Linked DNA regions of Arabidopsis thaliana. The protein of the gene in region 1 purifies or fractionates together with the protein of each later gene. This does not show direct contact. Each region holds a gene or a part of one and is shown on either strand. Other genes may lie near its edges.

The links.
Region 2: the proteins of AT5G27120 (region 1) and FIB2 fractionate together in Arabidopsis thaliana (co-fractionation; one large-scale study listed by BioGRID). This does not show direct contact.

The regions. Positions count from the first base shown.
Region 1 is NC_003076.8:9,537,489-9,545,915, reverse strand, and holds AT5G27120 (NOP56-like pre RNA processing ribonucleoprotein), read right to left. Parts: upstream 5,056-8,427; 5' UTR 4,937-5,055; intron 4,642-4,936; 5' UTR 4,630-4,641; coding exon 4,552-4,629; intron 4,452-4,551; coding exon 4,410-4,451; intron 4,321-4,409; coding exon 4,141-4,320; intron 4,065-4,140; coding exon 3,900-4,064; intron 3,706-3,899; coding exon 3,505-3,705; intron 3,418-3,504; coding exon 2,920-3,417; intron 2,820-2,919; coding exon 2,685-2,819; intron 2,535-2,684; coding exon 2,232-2,534; 3' UTR 1,851-2,231; downstream 1-1,850. Other genes in the region: AT5G27110 (Tetratricopeptide repeat (TPR)-like superfamily protein), read left to right, coding at 5,269-7,344; GLR2.1 (glutamate receptor 2.1), read left to right, coding at 7,605-7,866, 8,027-8,427. UniProt on the Arabidopsis thaliana protein: Required for 60S ribosomal subunit biogenesis.
Region 2 is NC_003075.7:13,071,247-13,078,951, reverse strand, and holds FIB2 (fibrillarin 2), read right to left. Parts: upstream 4,863-7,705; 5' UTR 4,714-4,862; coding exon 4,695-4,713; intron 4,453-4,694; coding exon 4,112-4,452; intron 4,019-4,111; coding exon 3,923-4,018; intron 3,839-3,922; coding exon 3,761-3,838; intron 3,674-3,760; coding exon 3,497-3,673; intron 3,390-3,496; exon of another isoform or gene 3,317-3,389; intron 3,083-3,316; coding exon 3,014-3,082; intron 2,930-3,013; coding exon 2,747-2,929; 3' UTR 2,520-2,746; downstream 1-2,519. Other genes in the region: DTX35 (detoxifying efflux carrier 35), read left to right, coding at 1-253, 389-1,014, 1,106-1,162, 1,239-1,477, 1,564-1,682, 1,757-1,843, 1,928-1,995, 2,295-2,376. UniProt on the Arabidopsis thaliana protein: S-adenosyl-L-methionine-dependent methyltransferase that has the ability to methylate both RNAs and proteins. Involved in pre-rRNA processing.

The sequences.
Region 1 (8,427 bases):
TTCAATTTTGGAGAAATCTGCGTGATATATGGGATTAGAATATATTTGGAATTTTTTTTGCTTGTTAATTAATTTATTGCAAAAAAAACAATAATTAAAAGCTAGTGGCAGCCATTATAAATAAGTTCCAACTCTAAGATTTATTTCACAAAATGGCGGCAAAAATGTATATGTAGATTTAGTTACCTATAATCAATGTTCAAAAAATCGTTGTACGGTAGCTAGACGTTCGATAGATGTCTAGGCTATTTTTTTGAACATTACCTATAATAAGTACATAAAACACTATATATTAAACTTTTTCGCGGCAACTAAATCTAATAATACTAAATCAACAGTCACTTTTAAAAAAACTGTAAGCTTCTCATTTTGACACGTATGCTTTAAGTCTAAAATTTTGCACTTCCACAATCGTAAACCAATTCACTTCCTTTTACTATTCAATAGAATATTCTTTTTTGACAAAAGATAAATTTAAATTTTTTTAACCACTTTTTCAGCAACTACTTCTTCCACGTTATTAAGATTCTTTACTTTCTCTCCCATCTTTCAAACCCTCTGCCAGTTAATTTACGATCTCAAGAGCAACCGTATAAGCCATTCTCAAGAAGATAAAAACAGGTTTAAATTCTTCTTCTTCTTTCCTTTCTCATAATCTTAGATCCTCCATTCTTTCATCTAAATACGTCTACCAGAGAAACGAAAGAATGACGTAAATAATGAAAGTTGAGACTTTTGTGATACCTAATGTGATGGACGCTGTTAACCCCTCACGACTCACTGAGTTTGGTCCACCCAATCGCTGGTATGAATATCAATAAACCTTTGGCCGTTTTGTTGCGTTTTACTTGGTCTTATCTTCTTACATTTTCCATGCACACCCGCTGCTACAAAATGACCACATGAGTTTGCGAGAATCATATAGAAACAAAATGGATGCAAATGTTTTGGGGCTTTCAATTCAGAAAAAGAAGAAGAAGAAGAAGAAGATAACCAAATTGAGAGATGGGTGGCATGACATGACATCTTCTTCCACGGTGTAGTGTGCAAAATAATTTAAATGTGAAACCATCTTATATGTTCAAGTTTAGAAAAGCGTTTTGGTTAGAAGGTAATTCATTTCTCCATCATTATTATTGTTAAGTTTTTTGAGAAGAAAAAACGGCTCTGTATATATATATATATTTTTTTCTATATATCTATGAGATAAGTTAGTGTATTTATGTAAGATTATTTGCTGTTTCCAATAAAAGTTTTCTTAATTTTAACACATATATTATTTTACAATTTGAGTAAAGTTGAATAGGACTTTTATTGAGAGTTATAGAGCAATGTGTGATACACATTGTATTTTGTGAGGTTGTGATATTCGTCATTTGTGTAATTGTTGCAAATTTCAAAGACACGAAATATATTATTGGTATTGTTGTTTTGCGTGCAAGGCACGGGCTGCCTACTAGTTTACTTACAAATAAAAAGACTTTATAAATTAAAATCCAGTTCGATAGGTGTCTAGGCAGATTTTTTGAACATTACCTACAATGATTACATAAAACACTATAGATTAAACTTTTTCCACGGCAACTAAATTTAATTAAAAATAAAAAAAACTTTATGAATTAAAATCCAGTTAAATATTTTAAAACATATATGTTCAGTAGTAAATTTTGATATTGACGGAACCATTATCACGAAATATTCAGAAAGAATTTTGATTCATATTCATCACAAAATTTATAGCACAATAAAAATATATACACACACAAAGTAGGTAGACTCTAGATTTTATTTATCTTTTGAAATTTCTAAGGTCTGGTATGATTTGCCTTATGCTCAACCCAATCCATTTCCAATTGACTATTAAGGTACTTTTTAGACTCACAAATATTCATTTTGTACAAGGTTTTTTAAAATGTCAATGATACACTTGATGAAAAATGTCGACTCTTCGGACTGATCTTTACAAATTTATGAACTAATCAACTATGAGTAATTACGTTATACTAAGATTAGAAGGATTTAACGGTAAGGTCTTGACTCGTTTGGCAAAATGCAAGTTTCTGGGATAAGGACTAAACCAAACATATTATAACCTTACAAAACGAAGAGTAGTTCTTTTTTTTAAGTTTCAAACAAAACAAAAACCTTACTTAACACCTAACGCCACAAAAGATTTTCTTTGTTTCTGATAACAAAGTAAACTAGACCACGCAAAAATATTAAAGGTCTCTTCAGACCTCAGTTTTCTTCTTCTTCTTCTTCTCACTCTTTTCCTTCTTCTTAGCAGGCATTTCAGTTTCCTCTTCCTCGTGTTTTCTCTTCTTCTTCTTCTCCTTCTTTGCAGGCTCTTCGGCGGTTTCAGGTTCTGCTTCTGTCTTCTTCTTATTCGATTTCTTCTTTGAGGGCTCCTCAGTTTTGGCTTCTTCCTCATCATCAGCCTTCTTCTTCTTCTTTTTGTCTTTCTTCTCTTTCACACCGTTCTCTGAATCCACTGTGGGAGTTTGAAGAAGAGAGTCTGCAGCAGTGTTGTATGTCTGCAGAATACAACAACAACAACAACAACAAACAGCTTAATCCTTTAAGCAACATTACAGGTAATATATCCAAAACACAATTGCACAAATCCAGAATTCATAATTACAAAAGAAAGTTGAAGAAACAAACTAGCAGAGGAATAATCTGACCTTAGCAGGAGTGATCAGACCTCCGGATCCTTTCTTTTTATCTTTGTCATATACTTCAATCTTTGGTTTGCCTTTAGCTGAGCCAGATAGACGTCCTAAATCTTTTCCTTCGAGAGTTCTCAACCGTGCTTCAAGCTGTCAGAAGAAAATAGCCCGCATGGTAAACATCAATCAAGGTAGAGTATTTTTAGATCAGATCGAGAGGAAGATCGGAAAAAAAAAAATTGAAGGATACCTTTAAACGGTTTTCAACTCCCATAGTGTTGTCTTGGGAGTCACCAAGAGCATCACAACGGATAGCAAGAACAGATTTTGCAGCTAGTGACCGTGAAATTTTACCCTTGTTCTTCGGTGCAGCTTGGCCAACAACAGATGCATGGAAAATTAAACCATACTTTGGAGTAGCGTGTTTGGTCTTAAGGGCTCTAAATAAGGCTTTTTCAGCTCCAAGAATCTGAACCGTGCTTCCAGGTTGCTTTGCGAGGTTCAACAAACTACCACCGTGAGATATTAAGCGAGCACCGACTAGCTCCCCGACAAGGGCAGTTAGATTTGGTGCAATTGTGTTCATTCTGCTCTTCAAGTAGTCATAAAGCTGAGCTCTGTACTCGGCAAGAGAAAGAACCTGGTCACAGAGTTCTCGGATGTGCAATAAATCAAGGTCACTGACTTCAGTTCCCATAGATATCACAGCAGCCTCTTTCAGTTCTGCTTCAATTTCATCAGCCAATATCTGAGAGGAGGACACAGAAACAATGTTTCAAAAAAAAAAAAACTAGTGTTAAGCACAAGGAAGTCAAATACTCAAACAGGCCTTTACCTCAGAGAAGTCTAGCTTTGCAGCATTAATCCGATTCCCCATTAGTTTAACAGCCTTGGCATATAAGATATTGTCCTGTACGATCTTAGCAAGCTCAGGAAAATGCCAACCAAACCATTCACGAACCCTCATAGCGTAAGTGTTAAGCTCTTTGTCAAGATCATCAAGCAGACCAATAGCTTGGATTATCATGGTATCCACCTAACATACAAGTACAAGGTGAAGTAACATAAGGGTCAAACAAACACAGGATATATAGACAAACTCAATTGCAATTCAGACCTAATGTTGGAAGAGTAAAAAAAGGGATACCAAAAGTTCCATAATTTATCAAAAGTTGGCTAACTCAACAAATAATTCAGAGAACCAAAAACCAATACAAATCAAATGACTACCTTGTCGGAACTGAACTTTAGTTTATATCTGGCAAGGCTGTGAGACAACCCCAAGCTCATTGGACCTAGATCTTGATCACCCAATCCAGATATAAGTTCAGTTAGCTGGCTTCTGATACCTCTTAACAGCTCCATAACAGCATTGTTGTGAACACAGACTATTTTCTACACGAGTGAAGCAAAACCGTAAGAAACAACCCTTACTCAGAAATAAAAGAGCGTATCGGAACAAAATACACACCAGTTTCTCCTTGATGATATTTCCAAGCTTAGAATCAGCAACAGCTAATGTTTCACCAACACAGTTAGCTTTCAAAAACTTGCGTAGACCCTTGCTTGGAGTTCCCTCAAGCAATTTAGCCACTGCTTCAAGAGCTTCAGCTGTGTTGTCAAACTTGTCAAAAGCTACTAGCTTCACCATCTGTAACAACACACCAAAAATTGCTATGAGAAACAAATATTATTAGCCAGATACAAAATTTGAACTATGTCTAGAACAAAATAAATCACCTTTCGGGCTAACTTTGCGGTCGAGAACTCATTACCCAAATCCTACAATCACAAATTTGACATACTTAGAATTAAAAAACCAAACCACACACAGAAACAAGGTTAAGATAAATGAACAAAGGAGAATGATTTAGTTAGTAACCTCAACATTAGAGAGCTTTCCTTCGTTTAATACTTTGAAGATGGCAAAACCACCTGGCGTCTCAAACAGTATTAGCATTTTTACAAGCTCCTGAAAAGAAGAAAAAACAAGATTAAGAGAAACCCTTGAATCAACTCAAAGTCACCAAACTTGCAAGTTAGTGTTTTACGAGCTAAAGCCATTAAGCTAGTACGAAACAATATTCAAGGTAAAACTTTTTCCCTGTTTCGAAGTTTACAAATCAGAATAATAGTTAAGGCAGATACTCTGTTCAAATTCTTGAAAATCCGACAAAGAACAGAACTATACTTTGTCAAAGTCTTAGAATTTTGGAAGCTTATTTGCCATAACAACGAAGAAAGAGAGGGCGAGAGAGATTCAGTACCTTAGAGGGTTAACGCACAACTACAGCTTTAGAGAGAGCTAAAATCAGGAGCCGCGATTCTGCTAGGGTTTAAGATGGTTTTTATAGTTGTTGAAGAAGGTTCAGAGATTCTCAAAACGCTGCGTTTTTATTGCTAACGGCGCGTTTTTGTAACCTAGGGTTTTAAAACGCATCGCTAATTTAGAAAAATAAATCATTTTGGGCCTAATTAAGTTTGGCCCATTAGTATAAACGACGTCGTAGTTTGAATCATGTCTTTCCTTTATAATTTAGCTAAAGCAGCGACTGATCACATTTCAATCTCTCACGACAAAAAAAAATGTGAACTTGAAATGGAATCTTCAAAGTTGTTGTCTTTATTGCGAGAGTGTACCAATAGCACCAAGTCTCTAAGAAGAATCAAGCTTGTGCATCAGAGAATACTCACGTTGGGGTTACGAAGAGACGTAGTTTTATGCAAAAGTCTCATCAATGTCTACTTTACTTGTAAAGACCATTGCTCAGCGAGACACGTCTTCGAGAACTTCGATATACGATCGGATGTTTACATATGGAACTCTTTAATGTCTGGTTATTCAAAGAACTCAATGTTTCATGACACTCTTGAGGTTTTCAAGAGGTTGTTGAATTGCTCAATTTGTGTCCCTGATTCGTTTACTTTTCCGAATGTGATTAAGGCTTATGGTGCGTTGGGTAGAGAGTTTCTTGGTAGGATGATTCATACTCTTGTGGTGAAGAGTGGGTATGTTTGTGATGTGGTTGTGGCGAGTTCTTTGGTTGGTATGTATGCAAAGTTTAACTTGTTTGAGAATTCACTACAAGTGTTCGATGAAATGCCTGAGAGAGATGTAGCATCTTGGAACACGGTTATTTCGTGTTTTTATCAAAGTGGAGAGGCAGAGAAGGCTTTGGAGTTGTTTGGAAGAATGGAAAGTTCTGGCTTTGAACCAAATTCAGTTTCGTTGACGGTGGCTATATCGGCGTGTTCAAGGCTGTTGTGGTTGGAGAGAGGGAAGGAGATACATAGAAAATGTGTGAAGAAAGGGTTTGAGTTAGATGAGTATGTAAACTCTGCCCTTGTTGATATGTATGGGAAATGTGACTGCTTGGAGGTGGCTAGGGAGGTTTTTCAGAAAATGCCTAGAAAGAGTTTGGTTGCTTGGAATTCTATGATCAAAGGTTATGTCGCTAAAGGAGACAGTAAGTCATGTGTTGAGATTTTGAATAGAATGATCATAGAAGGAACTCGACCGAGTCAGACAACCTTGACCAGCATTTTGATGGCTTGCTCTCGCTCACGGAATCTCCTACATGGAAAATTTATACACGGTTATGTGATTAGAAGCGTTGTAAATGCAGATATCTATGTGAACTGTTCCTTGATTGATCTATACTTCAAGTGTGGTGAAGCAAATTTGGCTGAAACCGTCTTTTCAAAGACACAGAAGGACGTTGCTGAGTCATGGAATGTCATGATTTCTAGTTATATCAGTGTAGGTAATTGGTTTAAGGCTGTTGAAGTGTATGACCAAATGGTGAGTGTTGGAGTGAAGCCAGACGTGGTAACTTTCACAAGTGTTTTACCTGCTTGTTCGCAACTGGCTGCGTTAGAGAAAGGCAAACAGATTCATTTGTCCATTAGTGAGAGCAGGCTCGAAACAGACGAGTTGCTTTTGAGTGCGCTTCTTGACATGTATTCTAAATGCGGCAATGAAAAAGAGGCTTTTAGGATTTTCAACAGTATACCAAAGAAGGATGTTGTATCATGGACGGTAATGATCTCTGCGTATGGATCTCATGGTCAACCCAGAGAAGCACTTTACCAGTTTGATGAAATGCAGAAGTTTGGTCTAAAACCTGATGGGGTTACTCTTCTTGCTGTATTGTCAGCTTGTGGTCATGCTGGGCTAATTGATGAGGGTCTCAAATTTTTCAGTCAAATGAGATCAAAGTACGGAATCGAGCCTATTATTGAACATTACTCGTGCATGATTGACATTCTTGGCCGAGCAGGTCGGTTGCTTGAAGCTTATGAAATTATTCAACAAACACCAGAGACAAGTGACAATGCAGAGCTTCTCAGTACTCTCTTCTCTGCTTGTTGCTTGCACCTGGAACATTCATTGGGAGATAGAATCGCAAGATTGCTTGTTGAGAATTATCCAGATGATGCATCAACCTACATGGTCTTGTTCAATTTGTATGCTTCTGGTGAGTCATGGGATGCAGCAAGACGAGTCAGATTAAAAATGAAAGAAATGGGATTGAGGAAGAAACCGGGCTGCAGTTGGATTGAGATGAGTGACAAAGTGTGCCATTTCTTTGCTGAGGACAGGTCTCATTTACGAGCTGAGAACGTTTATGAGTGTCTTGCTCTTTTGAGTGGTCACATGGAATCCGGTCAATGATTCTTATGTTATTGTTAATTATGCATGAGACGAAGTCTCCTCCTTTGCAACGGTTGACTTTAATTGTTGGTTAAATTAGAATATGTAAAAAAAAACAAGTTGCTGCCTTAAATATTATATACTTTGGAATAAATTCAACAAGTTCGTAATTAACAATATCACGACTTCTCCAATTACCAAAGGGTCTCATGCCACACCAAAGAGCATACATATAGACCACCAAGTTTCATTCTTTTTCGGCTAAGTAGAAGAAGAATAAAATGAAGAGAGAAAACAACCTCGTTCTCAGCTTACTCTTCTTTGTAATCGTCTTCCTGATGCAGGTCGGAGAAGCACAAAATAGGATAACCAATGTAAATGTGGGAATCGTGAATGATATCGGAACGGCTTACTCCAACATGACTTTGCTCTGTATCAACATGTCTCTTTCTGATTTCTACTCTTCTCATCCAGAAACCCAAACAAGGCTTGTAACCACCGTTGTTGACTCCAAAAATGATGTTGTTACCGCAGCAGCAGCAGGTACACGCATACCCATTTCTCTAAATTTGCATGCACTGAGATACGTGTGTGTCATCAATCATCAGTTCATATGCACACTTCTTATCTACATTTATGCTTTCTCCTCCAAAGGTTTTTTTTTTGCATAACAAAACACTCCTTGGCGTTGACTTTGTCACAGCTCTTGATCTGATAACGAACAAGGAAGTGAAAGCGATTCTAGGGCCATGGACTTCGATGCAGGCTCAATTCATGATTGAGATGGGACAAAAATCTCAGGTGCCGATTGTTACGTATTCTGCAACAAGTCCGTCCCTCGCTTCCATCCGTAGTCAATACTTCTTTCGGGCTACGTATGATGATTCATCTCAAGTGCACGCCATTAAAGAAATCATCAAACTTTTTGGTTGGAGAGAGGTTGCACCTGTATATGTTGACGACACATTTGGCGAAGGTATAATGCCTCGTCTTACAGATGTGTTACAAGAGATTAACGTTCGTATACCTTATAGGACCGTGATCTCTCCCAATGCCACGGATGATGAAATATCTGTGGAACTTCTCCGGATGATGACTCTACCC
Region 2 (7,705 bases), on another chromosome or scaffold:
GCCGTTGCTTACACACGGTGGCGAAGTAGAGGAGGATTATGCTCCGGCGAGGAGCTGGACCGATGTGAAACGAGTCTTATCTACAGAGTCGGCCAAGTTGTGGATGATAGCTGCTCCTGTGGGGTTCAACATCATCTGCCAATACGGAGTTAGCTCAGTCACTAATATCTTTGTCGGTCACATCGGCGAAGTCGAGCTCTCCGCCGTCTCTATCTCTCTTTCCGTCATCGGTACCTTCTCCTTCGGTTTCTTGGTATTACTCTCTTTCACTCTCTAGCTTCATTTTTTTACTGTTGTAACTTTCGAATCGAGAAATTTACTGTGAAAATGAATCAAGAGAACATACAGAGGAATTATAAGTTCTGTTTTTGGTTTTGAATCCTTGCAGCTTGGTATGGGAAGTGCTCTTGAAACATTATGTGGTCAAGCATATGGAGCTGGTCAAGTCAATATGTTAGGAGTTTATATGCAGAGATCTTGGATTATCTTGTTCGTTTCTTGTTTCTTCCTCCTTCCTATTTACATCTTTGCCACGCCGGTTCTGAGACTACTCGGTCAAGCAGAGGAGATCGCTGTTCCAGCTGGACAGTTCACTCTTCTAACCATACCACAGCTCTTCTCACTGGCCTTTAATTTCCCAACCTCTAAGTTCCTTCAAGCACAGAGCAAAGTGGTTGCTATTGCTTGGATTGGATTTGTGGCTCTTTCCCTTCACGTTATTATGCTCTGGTTGTTTATAATCGAGTTTGGTTGGGGGACAAATGGTGCTGCTTTGGCGTTTAATATTACAAACTGGGGAACTGCAATTGCTCAAATTGTTTATGTGATTGGTTGGTGTAATGAAGGCTGGACTGGTTTATCTTGGTTGGCTTTTAAAGAGATTTGGGCTTTCGTTAGACTCTCCATTGCATCTGCTGTTATGCTTTGTCTTGAGATCTGGTATATGATGAGTATCATTGTTCTTACTGGCCGTCTTGACAATGCAGTTATCGCTGTTGATTCCCTTTCTATATGGTTAGTTTTCTGCAACATTTTACATCAATAAGCTTGAGAAACTTGTATCTGACTCTTTAACGTTTTCACTCTTTGGTTTTTAACATTTCAGCATGAATATCAACGGCTTGGAGGCTATGTTATTCATCGGAATAAATGCAGCTATAAGGTATCATCACTATCTGACCTTTTTTCCTGTTATTCAGGTAACTAGTAAACTCATGTGTATATTTGTGTACTATTAGTGTCCGTGTATCCAATGAGCTTGGCCTAGGCCGTCCACGAGCAGCTAAGTACTCTGTCTATGTCACGGTCTTCCAGTCTCTCCTCATTGGTCTTGTCTTTATGGTGGCTATCATCATAGCCAGAGACCATTTTGCTATCATCTTCACAAGCAGTAAAGTACTTCAGCGTGCAGTGTCTAAGCTAGCTTATCTTCTTGGTATAACCATGGTTCTCAACAGTGTGCAGCCGGTTGTTTCTGGTACTAAAATCTAAACCTGATATATATATAAACCGAACTGGATATCTCATCAGATTATAACCGTCCTGATTTGTTCATCTTTTTAGGTGTGGCTGTTGGAGGCGGTTGGCAAGGCTTAGTGGCCTATATCAACTTGGGCTGTTACTACATTTTTGGCCTTCCCTTTGGATATCTTCTTGGTTACATTGCAAACTTTGGAGTGATGGTTAGAGAATTTAGAAAATGGCATGAGTTAAGTCAGTTAATGCTGAAGCTAAAACTTATGTATAATGTTTTCAGGGACTTTGGTCTGGAATGATAGCCGGGACAGCGCTTCAAACGTTGTTACTGTTGATTGTTCTGTATAAGACAAACTGGAATAAAGAGGTAAGAACCAGATATACAACACCATGTTTGTTATATACACTTTTTCATTCCTTGAATTGAATCGATCTCAACTGTGATGAACAGGTGGAGGAGACGATGGAACGTATGAAGAAATGGGGAGGGAGTGAGACGACATCCAAGGATATACTTGCGTGATTGATGTTTTTTTTTTGTTAAGCTTAGTAGTGACTTTTTGTTTGTCTTTCATTGGTTTGGGCACCAAATTGTTCTATTTAGAGTTTTAGATTGTAGGAAACTGTTCCATCAGTTATGTTTTGTTACTTACTTCCAAAAGGAAAAATTGCATTACAAATGTTAGTTACTTTTCCTCATGTAACCCAAATGTATCAAAAAAATTTGTAACCCAAATAAAATTCCAGATGCTTGAGAATAAGCCATTCTAGTTTTTTCATCCTGCTATATATGTTGTCAATGATATTTAATAAAGAAGGTCAGGATGGCCGAGTGGTCTAAGGCGCCAGACTCAAGTTCTGGTCTTCGTAAGAGGGCGTGGGTTCAAACCCCACTTCTGACATTAGTTTTTTGTTACAGTTTCTGCGTGAGCTTTTTGTATTTACATTTCCTTGGCTTGTGTCCTAAAAATGCAACGTGTCTTCAAACTTTGTTTTGTTTGTGTGCAAATTCTTGCGGCGTTTTACATTTGCATTACGAGGTGTCATTATTTAAAGAAATCAACCTCAGTCGACAAAATTCTATTATAATTGTTCCATATATCAAAAACTTGTCGAAAAAGTTAGCGCTGGAAGCCAAGTGAACATAACCAGGGTTCAAAATGATTACAAAGCTCAAAATTTAAGATAAACCCTAAAACCATACAGATTCTAAAGAGACCGAGACAAAGCAAAATCTGAGGTACTGGGAAGAGCGTAGAGTAGAAAACTTCTAAGCAGCAGTAGCAGCCTTTGGCTTCTTAGGCATACGGTAGCCACCAACGACACATGCATGGTCACGCTCAAATGGCTCAAGCGTCACTTGCTCAGCTGGTTTGAATTGCTCCTGTTGAAGCTTCTTCACTTCAGTCTGGAACACAGCTTCTGCTGGAACGGTGGAGTCGATACAGTTTGCCTGCAAAAATGAGACAATACATGTTCACTAATCTTTCTCTCTTGAGAGATCATGGATTAAATAAATGTTTCGATTGCTACCCACCTTTATTGAGATCACAAAGTGTCCTCCTGACTTGAGGAAGTATGATGCATTCAAAGCCAAGATCCTAGCCTGCACGGTTTTAAATGGCACAGAAAATTTCATAAACAAAACAGTATAAAGTATACTAGAAGCAACCCACAAGCTGAATGGCATTTAGAAAACAAGTAGGTTTAACATCAGGAGAACCAAAACCGAGCAATAATAGACATTTAAATTTAGTATTGTTCTTAAAAACGAAATTGTAAAACAAGTACATAGTAAAATAAGATTAAGCTTAACAAAAACAAAAACAAGAATTTTCAGTACATCAGAAACTTGGAGATTGCATCACCCATAATGATCTGAAGGGGAATCCAAGTAAGATCATCATTTGCAATTATCAAAACACCATTTTAAAGCAAAGGACACATATAATGGTATTGGGTCAAGCTTTTTGAGGCAAATATTTAGACATTCATTGTGAGTTAAACAAAAGAAGCAAACCTGATCTGGCTGAGCAACATCAGAGAAGATAACATCAACCATGCCTACAAGCATTCTGTATTTAGCTGGGTGTCTAGCATCCTCGATGATTGGAATAACATTGGTTCTCTTCTTTGCCATGTTCACCAAATCTCTACCACTTCTATGAGAAAACTCAACCGCGTACACACACCCCTCCTATCAGATCACAAAGGCAATATATAAGAAACTCCAATACACGTCTAAAACCTGATAATCACAACATAAAGGACGGGTTCTGCTTACAGGGCCAACAAGATCAGACACATGAGAGACTGTGGTTCCAGAAGCAGCACCAAGGTATAGAACTTTAGCACCAGGTTTCTACATTGAAACGGGAACAACAATCAATATATGAACCAAGTCTCGCAAACAACAACAATAAGATTCACACAAGCTGATGCTTACAATCCAGATGTTATCAACACCACCAAGAATAGCAGCAGCCAACTTCGAACGGAAAGGATTCCAAACTCTGTATTCAGTCTTGGTTCCATCTTCGTTCTGCAGATTCAATCACAAGAACCATTAAAAACAAATTCATCAAAAGGAGTGCAAATACAAACCATCAATCAATTAATCAATCCTCTATAATACCTGAACAGAGATTCTCTTCTCGTTGTAGACAGCTTCACCAGGAACCAAATTCTTGGTAACAAGGGCATCTTCTTTACCCTTTGCAATGAACACTCCTGCGTGTCTGTGAGGTTCCACAATCACTTTGCTTCCTCCTTTCATGCCTCCACGGCCAGCTGGTCCTCTGCCGCCGCGAGCACCACCACGTGGTGGTCCTCTTCCTCTGCCGCGACCACCACGGTCGCTGAAACCTCTTCCTCCTCCTCTACCACCGCCACCTCGACCACCACTGAATCCACCGTCACCTCTACCACCACTGTATCCACCACGCCCTCTTCCACCACTGAACCCACCACCACTTCCTGAACACAAAAGACCATTCATTAGAGACTCCATGTTTAACATAAAACCCAACCATCAACTCTATATCCGATAGAACTAACGCAGACCCAATACAGTTCTAAGCAAAAAAGAACAAAGTTGACAATCAGTTCAGCTAAAGACATAAAGTTTTAAAGACTAAACGAGCTAAGAGTGTCACTCGCCATTGTTAATCTGATAAGCAAGCAATGAAGAAAAGAGAAGAGGCGGCTAGGGTTCTTACCAGTTAGAGGAGGTCTCATCTTTGCGTTAAGACTCTAAAGAATGCGAAAATCAAGGAGAAAAGCTTTTGATGAGAGAGAGAATGGCGATGGCGATGAAGCTGCGCTCGCAAGTGTTTTTATACATGTGTTTCAAGCTAGGGTTTTAACAGGGTTTTAATTTAACTCGCCTTATTTATTATTATTTACGTTTTAATCCTTATATTATGTATACATATCTTTTTCTGCTGTCAACTATTTAGAATTAACATTTTGCCCCTCGTAGTTAAAGCTTTATGAAATTCTATCATCACACACACTAACGTGTTACAGCAACAACAAAATTGTGTGTAAATATATTAATCGTCTTACCATTGTAAATTGTAATACACAACATTTAATCGTTACCATCATTTCTCTACACATAAGAAAACAAATACCCAAAAACCAGAAAATTCTAGTTCCAGAGCGAACATGTCTCTTACAATGAAACTGGGCTGCTAAATATGTGGGCTTTAGTTATAGTGGTGTGGGCCATAATAATTTTCATAAATAGTTTATGGTAAAAGCCCACATAATTAGTTTATACGAGGTCCACTCTAACATTACAAGTTCTCATAAATAATTTTCTTCTGTAGTCTGTTTATACAAGGTCCAATATAACATACAAAAATCACTTATGATAAAAACTTATTTATAAATATTGATTTTAAAGCAAATTTTAAACTTTATTATACTCAAACCTATCTTTACTTTAGTCTACCGAAGTGGAGACTCATGTTAACTCGAAAATACAAAATGATTAGTGAGTTAACATGTTCACATACAATGAAAAGGAAATCATATGTAGACACAGTGTTAAAACACTAATTCTAGATAAACATATCACAATCAATGAATGAGTTAGTGAGATGAGATTATTAGTGAATATGTTACACACGGAATGGATAAATTAGAATGAAAGAAATAAATGTGAGAGAATGGAGAGGGAAGTGTGCATGTGGGATGTTGGGGAAAATAGGTCCCATTACCCATCCTTTTTTCTTTTTGAGTCTCTCCCTACCAATCATTATAACTTTTCTCAACTTATACATTCTGAACTATTTATTTCTATTTGTCAAATTAATGGTTATGCTTTAATACATTTATATCCCAATTGGCATATACATGTTGTAGAGTAGCTAGCTATGTCATAGGCTTGAAAATGTTTTTGTTTATAGGAATGAAGATTCCCATTGATTATTCCACTTATTTGGCACTTTTTATCATGTTCAATGTCTACTAGATAAGCATGTGGCTACTAGTGGATGGCCACCTTTGGGGGTAAAATTTTGTTAGTAATATACCATTTCTAGTTATATTTTTAATATGTATACCTATGGACATATCCATTTTGTATCTATCCACACGTTGCAAGACTTACATTAGTTACATAATTCGAATATATAATAATTTCGATCTGTAGAGGTGTGGAAAAGTGAAGCCTTGTTTAGTTGACTTGTTGATTAACTGAATTAGATATCTAAGCTCGTATATATGATTTCATTATGTTATAACGCATAGTTGATTAAACTTACTAGATTACTATCAATAACTGATTTCCGTTTTAAACTTAGGTTTACAATAGATCTATATACGTAGATGAAATTTTCGAGCATAGTAAGAAGAATTTACAATCTAAGTTTAAAGTCATACATTGTTTGATCTATATCTCTATCTATAATATATAAAATTATATTAAAAAGGAGAAAATGTGCTGAAAAGTTTGTATGATGAAAATGAATAAATCATTGTTTTAAATTGAAGTTAAATTTACGTAAATGTGTGCCGCTATTCCACATAATTGTAAAAGGCAATCTTAAAAAGTAATTTTCAAAGTCAAGGTAAAAGAGTAGATATTTAATTTATAGTTCGTCAAGTAAAGATAAATCCTCCTATTTTAGTAGTCACATGTTTTATTGCTAGGGCTGCTGCTTTATTTGTCATATTACTTGCGATCGAGACAATAGAGTAGAGACGACGATGTATGTCCACCAAAACAAATCGATTTTCATGAAATATTATCAACTATTCTTTATTATTTTTTTGGGTATGAATGTTAAGTAACTATTATTTATTTTTTCAAACCAGATCCTAACAATCTACATAAAGAGCTAAACCACCATGTGCATAATGAGCTAACACACTTTGCAATGACAATATGTGATAGGACGCATCACACACATCTTCCGTAAAGAGAATACTAACAACATTATTACGTCTACCTAAAATTGTGTACATGCTTTGATAGGATGTAATAGAAAAACTTGACCAACACCACACATGTTTTCTACTTTAAAACAAGTACATTTGTATGGACTTAACACCATAATGTTTTGAAACCCGGTATCTGAACCATGTTCAGTTTTTTTTTCTTATAAATATCAGTCTTAAGAATTTTTCTTAAGGATTCACAATCCAACATGAGCATAATAGAGAGAGAAGTAATTGCTATATTCTCAATAACAACACTTGACATATACTAATTTAAGAGCATCCTCATAATAACATCTAAGTATTTTGTTATACAACTTCTTTAAGTTTCCAATAATGACTTAAATGTTAGATGGTCATTGGAAGACATCCATGATTGCTTCGAGTGGCTTCTACTAAGGATATGCTCATCTATTCAAAAGACTATATTTTGCCATGATTGATGATAAAATCTAAAAAATGTATATTAACATCGCAAATGAAATTGGATATTCACATACAAAAATAATTGTATATTACGTATTCCATAGTACTTAAGTATTATGATATATATATTTTTTCTTTTTCTTTTTCAAAGCATTAGAATAAAAACATTCAAAATATGTTTGATAGGTTTTTCTATACTTCATTTATGTTACTGATATAGTGTTTAAATAATGTAAAAGTGAATATCCAACTTCTCAAGAGACAAAGAAAGGTAAAGGGTCGCATTCGTACACACGCACGAGGGATACACGTAAAAGTCATTACGCAACTCAACAAAAGCAAAAGAAGAAGAGAA